Linked DNA regions of Macaca fascicularis. The protein of the gene in region 1 interacts with the protein of each later gene in a pairwise test. Links are inferred from orthologs where the notes say so. Each region holds a gene or a part of one and is shown on either strand. Other genes may lie near its edges.

Region 1 (5,437 bases):
AGTAGCACAGAGGAGAGAGAGCAGCTCCCAGTAGATTTTAACCAGGGCAATTGTATTCCCCAAAAAACATCAGCCAAGATAGTTTTGCTTGCTACAACTGGGTATGGGGAGAGGGAGTTGCTAATGGCATCTAGTGGGTGGGAAGCCAGGGAGGCTGCTAAACATCCAACAATGCACAGGACAGCCCCCAAAACAGAATGTTCCCATGCAAAATGTCCACAGTGCCAAGGCAGAGAAAGCCTGAATTACCTAAGAAAACAGGGCAGCTATGACTCACTGGGCCCTGCTGTATCAGGTACTGTCTCAGCGCTTTATGTACACCATCTGATGTCATCCTCCCAACAATTCTACAAAGAATTACTCCTCTCTTTCTTCCACAGAAAAGAAAGTTGAGGCAAGAGAATGCAAGCCACAGACACATGCCAGTCAGTGGTGGAGTTAAAAGTGAAATCAGGCTAGGCGTGGTGCCTCACGCTTATAATCCCAGCACTCTGTGAGGCCGAGGCAGGTGGATCACCTGAGGTCAGGAGTTTGAGACCAGCCTGGCCAACATGGAGAAACCCTGTCTCTACTAAAAATACAAAAATTAGCTAGACGTGGCGGTGGGCGCCTGTAATCCCAGCTACTCCTGAGGCTGAGGCAGGAGAATGACTTGAACCCGGGAGGCAGAGTTTGCAGTGGGCTGAGATCGTGCCATTGCACTCCAGCCTCAGTGACAAAGAGTGAGATTCTGTCTCAAAAAAAAAAAGACTGAAAACCAGGCGGCATCTGGCTCCACAGCTGCTCCACAGCCCAGCTCTCAGCTGCTTCCCGAGACCACAATTCCAATCATCCACAGCGAAAAATAACCAGTAAGCTTCAGAAACACACACAACTCCACTGCATCAAAGGCAAGACACATCAGTGACCCACAAAAACTGGAGCCAACTAGACCTGTTTGCATACCGGCCCCATTGGGATGCTGCCTCCTCCACGGGGTAAATCATTTTCATCCCACTCACGCCCAAGGTTAACAGGAGGCACATCTTCATGAGCATTCTATCATTTCTAATACTTTATAGTCTGCTGCTTTGTTGTTTAGGATAATTTAAAAATCAGAAATGACAACAAAGGTGTGTTACACGACAATTAAAACCAACTTAAAAACAAATATATGCTAACAAAATAAACTCACCTGATTTGACTGTCCAGTAAGGTAGGGCTCAAAGTCATTGTCATGAACTGTATCCTTCTGATGTAAAGAACCATTTTGTACTAGAACAAAAAGTTGCAAAATATTACCCTCAAATTTTAAAAGATTACTTTTAAGCACGGAAGTCAAAGTTTAAGTAAAGTCTATTTCCATCTATTTCTAGCAGAAATTATGCTTTTATTTTAAAAGGAATAAAACCAGTATAGAACTGAGGTTTACACAACTAATTAGAAGGGTGACAGGAAACTTTCAATAATTTAAGCTAAATTTTAAATAAAGGCTTAAACATAATTTGGTGAGATTGACCAAATTAAGTGTTAACACATAATGCAAGGAACACATAACCAGGGTGAAACTGACATGGTCTAATAAAGACCTATGTGTGGCAAATAGAAGTGGAGCCTCCAAAAACCCAAATGCAGAATGTATGCCCAAATGTATGGCGAAACTGAGGGAAGAAAACTTAAGAGGGAAGGGGCTGCAACTGAAGGACTACTGGGAGTTATTATCTGACTCTCCACAGTGAACCCCAAATATCTGAGACAGGTCTCAGTCAATTCAGAAAATTTATTTTGCCAAGGTTAAGGACACACCCATGACACAGCCTCAGGAGGTTTTGACAACACGTGCCCAAGGTGGTCAGGACACGGCTTAGTTTTATACATTTTATAAAGGGAGTCGTGAGAACAATCAATGTAAGATGTACATTGGTTTGGTCTGGAGAGGCAGGACAACTTGAAGCAGGGAGGGGGCTTCCAGATCATAGGTAGGTAAGAGACTGCATTCTTTTGAGTTTCTGATTAGCCTTTCCAAACGAAGCAATCAGATAAGCATTTATCTCAGTGAGGAGGAATGACTCTGAGTTCAGTCCTTTGTCCACCAGGAATTTCCTTGTGGGCAAACTGTGGGGGAGGTATGTAACTTTTTATGTCTTAGAAACTATCTTTTTCAAGAATAGAAGGGGAGGCAGGTTTGCCCTAAGCAGTTCCCAGCGTAGCTTTCTCCCTTTGGCTCAGTGATTTGGGCGCCCGAAGATTGATCTTCCTTTCACACCACTTTTCTTCCCACTGTTATTATGCTCAGTCAGAAAAAGAAAGCAAAGGTAAATAAAGTGCTGGGCCTTTTCCAATCTTAAAACACGATGAACCACAGTATTTGTTTACACCTGAGCTGACACACAAACTAGCTAAAAAAGTGTTTCAATTTTCCCACCAGTGCGCTCTGAGGGTTTATCCCAAGCCATAATGTCACAGGAGATGCTAACAGACTTGGAAAACCGGCTGAAACTACCCGGGATATGGAGCTTAGCCTGCAGAACCTCGGACTGCCCCTCTCCTAGAGCAGCCCCTACTGGGCAGCAAAAGGCAAGTCGCTCGTCCCCTGCGGCCATGTCCACCCCGCAAAGCCTCCTCTCCTACCTCCCCTTCCCCAAAGCAAATCCATGATCATGCAGTGGGCAGAGAAGGGCCCAAATTACTCTGAACACTCATTTAAAATTTCACTTCTTGAGAAGCCCTTGTCTTCGACCTGCCAAATCTCCCAGAATCGTCACACAACCTCAAGTTTTATCTCCCTGAAGCTGGCGGAAGAGAGAAAGTTTCCGGTCCCAGACGCAGCTTCCTGGACCGTTCCTTCCCCGTCCTCCTCCACTCCAGCCCGCGCCGGCCGTCCCGGGACTCCGCTCACCTTTATTATCTTGTCCTTTTGTTCTCTGCACCGCCGCAGGCCGGGACGTGGGGTACACACAACCCGCGGAAAAAAGGAAACACAAAGTTATTCACCAGAGAACTGGTCTCCAGCGGGCAGCGAGCTCGGCAGGCCCCGAGGCGCGGTCACGTGCGACCCCGGCCCCCGCGACCCCGGCCCCCGCGACCCCGGCCTCTGCGGTCCAGCCCAGGACCCCAACCCAGCCCCCGCGACTCGGCCCCGGCCACGGCCCCCGTAACCCGGCCCCGCTACCTGGGTGTCCACGCTGGTGGCCGACATGCTTCATGAACAACTAGACGCGGGGCCGGGGCGCCCGCCGGCTCGGGCCTCCCCGAGAGGCCGGGCCTGTCACCCTAGCTCGCGCGGCCCCGGGCCCCGCCGCCAACTCCCCGGGCGCCGGCCGGGCGGCGGCGGCGGCGGCTGCTGGGCGCGCGGGCCCCTGACGAGGCGGCGACGGCGGTGAGCCCCGGACGCGGACGCGCTGAGGAGGCGTCGACTCCAATGGCGGCGGCGGCGGCTGCGGCGACAGCGGCAGCGACGGCGGCAGCCGGGAACGAGACTGCGCAGCGTCAGCGCGCACGCGGGGCAGGCCGGGAGCACCGCGCCGGGCCGCCACGATTCGCGCCTGCGCGCTGCTGTCTTACGGGACAGATTTCGCTCCCAGGTCGTAGTTTCGCGCGGCGGGGCGGGGGCCGCAGCCGGCTGGGCGGGGAAGCCCCGAGCCGGGGAAGTCACGTGGGGCGTGTCCGGCGGAGCCGCGCGGCCTGTTGGGAAGGGGCTGGCGGGCTGCGTCCAGGTGTGCACCGCGCCCCCGCACCCCCGCGCCCCGTCCACGGCCGCAGCCCCCGACGCGCTACAGGCACTGAGGCCTCTGTGGTTTTCCCCAAGGTCTGAAGACTAAACGCTGCTCTGGTCCGACAGCCGGGCTACGGGTCTGTACGTGGTCGGTCCCCCCTGCCCCCACGCGCAAAGCCCTGCCCGCCCAGAGCTGCGAGCCCCTGCGCCTTGCCGCGGGACCTGCGGGCTTTGTTCGCTTTGCAGCCCTGGCCTTCAGCAGCAGCGGAGCCCGGGGCCCGGTCCCGAAGGTCAGCTGTTCTGTGGATGTACCTCCGGACCTGCAAGAGGCTCGCCGGCTTATAACGAAGTTCGCATATTAGATTCTTGACCCCGATTTCATCACCAGGAGGAAAAGAGACTTACGGTAGTGCTCTGTGCCGCAGCCTAGGCCGGGCCAGGGGAATTCTGGTCTTTGTTCGAGGATGGACAGCACCTTCTTAGCTGCAGCTGTGCAAAGAGAGCCCAGTTCTCAGTTCCTAACCCCTCAGCATCCCCAGTCTGGACGCCCTTCTGGTCAGGCGTTGAATTTCGCTCCCTGCAGCCAGTATCCAATCCTGCCACCCTTGTGGCTAACTCCCTACAGAGGCTTCGAGGTTGATATTTTTCTTTCCAGCTCTGGCAGGTGTAACATCTTCACGTGGCCTGGATCTGGGTCCCGCTGAAGGAGAAAGACCTGGAATGGGGTGTCAGTCATTCTGACGTCAAAGGAGTGTTTTCCACAAAGTGGGCCCGGACAGATGTGCTAGGCAGGGCGGACAGTGACAGCAGGGATGGCAATGGAGTCCCAAGACGGCTCCAAGCCTGGACATCCTCATCAGTGAGGCAGCAGACAGCCTCTCACACTGCTGCAGGAGGAGGTGGAAACGGCCCCCAGTGGGCCAGTCAGCCACAGAGAGGACTGCTGCTCCAAGTTGCTCATCACCAGGCCTCCCTGGGGCCCCGCCTCGCCTAAAGCTGGGGAAAGCAGACTGGGCATGTTTCCCTGGAACAGAGCTCAGGGATGTCTGGTGCCCTGAGGATAAATCTGGATCCACTGGGACTTTGATATGCTTTGACCGTGGGCAGGCACCTCAGGCCGAGATGAAATCTGTGCATTTGGGGTAGATCTGAAAATGAACACATTTCCCGGATGGGAGCAGACATGGAGAAGATGTGTGGGGATTGTAGGGCCAGCGGGATTCCTGGGGGCACTCTGCCACCTGCCTCTATGTGATAAGGCCTGCGCATCCTAGGCAGGGCCTGAGTGCCTGCTTCCCAGGACACTGAACTGCTTGGCAGCCCTGACTGCAGCAAGGGGGTGTCTGGGTGGTCAGAGCCCCTGTCTGTCTGCTCCCCCGGCTCCCATCTCTCAGCCAGGATGGTACAGTGGTCACCACTGGAGTTCAGAGCCTCACAGCCAGTTACAGGGCCTTCAGCCTCAGGCCTCCTTTCCTCCTCACTGGTGGGGTAATTACTCCCCTCTCACAGGATGAGTGTGCGGAAGAAACTGGACGTGCAGCACTTGGCATCAGGCCGGGACTCTATTAACACTGGCTGTTACCTGCTGCCTTCACCCACAAATGCCCAGCCAGTCACAGGAGGCAGCACTGGCCCTGCAGGAAGTGGCCACTCCGAGCTTAGGGGCCTTCTCAGATGGCTGAGTGCCAGCAATGCAGGACCGTGGGGGTGTTTCCGTTTCCTGGAGCTGTCTTAACAAAGTAC
Region 2 (4,693 bases), on another chromosome or scaffold:
GGCAGGGGGTTGGCCCCTGTTGTGGAAAGACTTATTTAAGGAGGAAGTGTTTGATCTGGGCTCCGAAGGGCGAGCAGAGTCCAGACATTAGAGGTGACAGGAACACAAGACTAGTTTTACCCACGTGCCTGAGGTATTGGAATGCCATGTTTTATCTCTGGCGAGGTGGCTTTAGGTATGTAAGGAGGTAAGACACAGTGTTTTCCTTGCAGTGGCTTGTTTGATCAAGTTGCATTATAATCAACATTTATAGGAAACTCCACGTGTATCTATATGATGGGGTTACAGATGGGTCAGGTGCCATGTAGGGACTAGGAGGTGGGATGGAAGAATGATTGAGGGAGGAAGGCTTTGATGAGGCAGCAAAGGAAGAGGGAGTCTGTGGGGTGTATTCTAGCGTCATTGAGGGCCTGGTCTGGCTGGTCCGAGGGTACACGTTGGGAATTCACGGAGGTGACAGGGGCCTATTGTGGTGTTGGAGGGGCTCTAGTCGCACAGTGAGTGGTTTCTCCTCAGGGCCTTCCCCAGACGTAGGGCTGTTCTGCTGTGACACATCACGTTTAGCTTTTCTTGAATTAACTTTATTATTATTTTCTTCGAGACAGAGTCTTGCTCTGTCGCCCAGGCTGGAGTGCACCATCATGATCTCCGCTCAATGCAACCTCTGCCTTCAGGGTTCAGGTGATTCTTGTGCCTCAGCCTCGCTAGTAGCTGGGACTATAGGTGCTGGCCACCCGCCCGGCTAATTTTTTTTTTTTTTTTTTTTTGAGATGGAGTCTCGCTCTGTCGCCCAGGCTGGAGTGCAGTTGCACAATCTCAGCTCATTGCACCCTCCGCCCCTCCAGGTTTAAGCAATTCTCTGCCTCAGTCTCCGGAGTAGCTGGGATTACAGGCGCGTGCCACCACGCCCGCCTAATTTTTTGTAGTTTTAGTAGAGGTGGGGTTTCACCATCTTGGCCAGGCTGGTCTTGAACTGCTGACCTCATGATCCACCTGCCTTGGCCTCCCAAAGTGCTGGGACTACAGGTGTGAGCCACCGCACCCAGCTAATTTTTGTATTTTTAGTGGAGATGGGGTTTCACTATGTTGGCCAGGCTGGTCTTGAACCCCTGACCTCAGGTGATTTGCCTGCCTTGGCCTCCCAAAGGGCTGGGATTATAGGTGTGAGCCACTGCACCTGGCCTGAATTAACTTTAGTTCATTTTTTAAAACGTTTATTTTGGTAAGTTTACATTTTCCTAGTTCATAATTTCTCCCTCCATCACCATGTCAGCCAAGATCCAAAATCTCTTAGACATTACTTGGCACAACAACTGCCTCGGAGCTCCTGAGCTTGTCTGGGCTGGTTTTTGGGGAGCCCTAGAGCATAGACTGAGTCTTGCATGTCTCCCTGCAGAGCCTGGGCCTGGTGGACAGGAACAATGAACCACTTACACACGCCATGTATAACCTGGCCTCTTTGCGTGAGCTGGGTGAGACCCAGCGCCGACCGTGCACCATCCAGGTGCCCGAGCCCATCCTCCGCAAGATAGAGACCTTCCTGAACCATGTAAGAGGCCCTGCATCCCTCATCACCCTTGCCCCCTGGAGTCTGCCTCCGTCTCTTCAGACTGAAGGCCTCTACCTGCGACAGGCAGTAGTACCTCCCCATTCTCTTCACTGAGATTGGGGCCTGGGAGCCCCCTGGCCTCAGCAGCCCAGTCTTGCCCACAAGGATCCCGGGGCAGTCACGGACTAAATTAATCCTGTGCCCAGTGGGTTGGGCCACAACCTCTGACCCAGGCGGATCCTGCAGAGTGGCTGGTTGGGTGGTAATGAGGAATTTCTTTTTCGTTGTTTTGCTTGCCTCCCTGCCCCCCAGTACCCTGTGGAGAGTTCGTGGATCGCCCCAGAACTCCGGCTGCAGAGTGAAGACATCTTGCCCTTGGGCAAGGACTCAGGGCCTCTCAGTGACCCTATCACAGGCAAGCCCTATGTGCCCCTGTTGGAAGCAGAGGAGGTACGTCTCAGCCAGAGTCTGCTAGAACTGTGGCGGCGGCGAGGGCCAGTCTGGCAGGAGGCCCCCCAGCTACCTGTGGATCCACATCGGGATACCATCCTCAACGCCATTGAGCAGCACCCGGTGGTGGTCATCTCTGGGGACACAGGCTGTGGGAAGACCACACGCATCCCCCAGCTGTTGCTGGAGCGCTATGTGACCGAGGGCCGCGGTGCCCGCTGCAATGTGATCATCACCCAACCTCGCCGCATCTCTGCTGTGTCTGTGGCACAGCGGGTCAGCCACGAACTGGGCCCCTCCCTGCGCCGGAACGTGGGCTTCCAGGTGCGGCTGGAAAGTAAGCCCCCGGCCCGAGGCGGGGCCCTGCTCTTCTGCACTGTGGGTATCCTGCTGCGTAAGCTGCAGAGCAACCCCAGCCTGGAGGGTGTGAGCCACGTCATCGTGGATGAGGTGCATGAGCGGGACGTGAACACAGACTTTCTACTGATCCTGCTCAAGGGCCTGCAGCGGCTCAACCCGGCCCTGCGGCTGGTGCTCATGAGTGCCACAGGGGACAATGAGCGCTTCTCCCGATACTTTGGTGGCTGCCCTGTCATCAAGGTGCCTGGCTTCATGTACCCGGTCAAGGAGCACTACCTGGAGGACATCCTGGCCAAGTTGGGCAAGCACCAGTACCTGCACCGGCACCGGCACCATGAGGTGAGGGACACCCCCATCCCACCCGAGACTCTTGGCCTTTCCTCCATGGATGCCCCTCCTCCCTGGCCCTGGGGCTTGGTGGCCTGGGGCAAGTTACCCTCCCCAGTCCTCAGTTTCCTTGATAGAAACTGAGGACTAACCCCATGTGCGTGGCACGCATGTGAGGATTGGAGTTGATGTCAAGCGGCTCCGTCTCACTGAGTCAGGTGGCTGTGTCCTTGGCATGACCCCTTACCCCGGGGCTGTGACTGTGGCCTCTCTTCCCCCACCCCAGTCTGAGGATGAATGCGCACTCGATTTGGACCTTGTGACTGATCTGGTTCTGCACATCGATGCTCGTGGGGAACCAGGTGGGTGCCTCCCCATCTGCCCCATGCCAGTCCTGGCCACGCTTGCAGAAGCAGCTGGCTCATGCCCCAGGGCTCCTTTGCAGGTGGGATCCTGTGCTTCCTGCCTGGGTGGCAGGAGATCAAAGGAGTGCAGCAGCGCCTCCAGGAGGCCCTGGGCATGCACGAGAGCAAGTACCTCATCCTGCCAGGTGAGAGCCCGGGCAGAGGGACCAGGGACCTTTGGAAACCAGCCTGGCCTCTGTCCTGGGGACTGACCCAACTGGGACTCCGGGGGTCCCGGTTTCTGACCAAGCTGCGGCACTTTTCACTGGGCATAGTGTTTATCTGCACCTGTTTCATCAAAATGGGGTCAAAATCCTTGCCCTGCCCACATTCCAGGGGGGAATTCTGGTGGAAGCAGTGCCCATAACCAGTGTGTGTCTTGCCCACCAGTGCACTCCAACATCCCCATGATGGATCAGAAGGCCATATTCCAGCAGCCTCCAGTTGGGGTGCGCAAGATTGTCTTGGCCACCAATATCGCGGAGACTTCCATCACAATCAATGACATCGTGCATGTGGTGGACAGTGGGCTGCACAAGGAAGAACGCTATGACCTGAAGACCAAGGTGGCACCTACCTCCTGGACCTGGCCAGCCACTGGGGGAGGGACTCCGTTTCGAGGTGGTCTGCAGCCCAGATCTACCTTAGACCTATTTTGTGTGTGTTGAGAAGGCCACACTTGTGGGGTCTCAGTGTTCCTGGTGTTGGGGGCTGGTGAGGGTTACTCGGAGTGGGGAAGCACTGAGGAAGTGGTATCTGTGCTGCTTACCTGCCCCCTCCTCCAGGTGTCCTGTCTGGAGACAGTGTGGGTGTCAAGAGCCAATGTGATCCAGCGCCGGGGCCGAGCGGGCCGCTGCCAGTCAGGCTTTGCCTACCACTTGTTCCCTCGAAGCCGGCTGGAGAAAATGGTCCCTTTCCAAGTGCCAGAGATCCTGCGCACGCCTCTCGAGAACCTGGTGCTGCAAGCGAAAATCCACATGCCTGAGAAGACGGTGTGGTGGGGTGGGGCGGGGTGGGGGCTGGCCTGGGGACCAGACAGGTGGGAGGCAGGCTCATGGCGGGCTCTGGCTCTGTTTGTCTTAGGCGGTGGAGTTCCTGTCCAAGGCTGTGGACAGTCCAAACATCAAGGCAGTGGACGAGGCTGTGATTTTGCTCCAGGAGATCGGTATGTAGGGGCTGGGCTGGGCTGGGCTGGGCCGGGGAGTAGCTCCTGAGGGTGGCACTGACAGCTGAGCCATTGCAGGGGTGCTGGACCAGCGGGAGTACCTGACCACCCTGGGGCAGCGCCTGGCTCACATCTCCACCGACCCCCGGCTGGCCAAGGCCATAGTGTTGGCCGCCATCTTCCGTTGCCTGCACCCGCTACTGGTGGTCGTTTCCTGCCTTACCCGGGACCCCTTCAGCAGCAGCCTACAGAACCGGGCCGAGGTGGACAAGGTCAGTCCTGACTCCTTCCTGGAGCCCTCCACCCACTGCTGTTCTGAGGGGGCGTTGTCTAGCCCCTGCCTGTGACCCGGCTGCCCTCTTCTCCCCTCCCAGGTGAAAGCACTGTTGAGCCACGACAGTGGCAGTGACCACCTGGCCTTTGTGCGGGCTGTCGCCG

Evidence for each region. The genes of interacting proteins can lie anywhere in the genome.
Region 2: the proteins of YTHDF1 (region 1) and DHX30 interact in a two-hybrid assay, tested with the Homo sapiens proteins (2 studies listed by BioGRID, with this or other methods). The link is inferred for Macaca fascicularis from reciprocal best matches to the Homo sapiens genes YTHDF1 and DHX30.

Annotation. Positions count from the first base shown.
Region 1 is NC_088384.1:119,319,878-119,325,314, forward strand, and holds the start of YTHDF1 (YTH domain-containing family protein 1), read right to left. Parts: upstream 3,461-5,437; 5' UTR 3,179-3,460; coding exon 3,152-3,178; intron 2,944-3,151; exon of another isoform or gene 2,904-2,943; coding exon 2,879-2,903; exon of another isoform or gene 2,750-2,878; intron 1,255-2,749; coding exon 1,175-1,254; intron 1-1,174.
Region 2 is NC_088376.1:110,782,200-110,786,892, forward strand, and holds part of DHX30 (ATP-dependent RNA helicase DHX30), read left to right. Parts: intron 1-1,396; coding exon 1,397-1,549; intron 1,550-1,861; coding exon 1,862-2,698; intron 2,699-2,972; coding exon 2,973-3,048; intron 3,049-3,131; coding exon 3,132-3,236; intron 3,237-3,480; coding exon 3,481-3,656; intron 3,657-3,875; coding exon 3,876-4,082; intron 4,083-4,173; coding exon 4,174-4,255; intron 4,256-4,333; coding exon 4,334-4,527; intron 4,528-4,629; coding exon 4,630-4,693.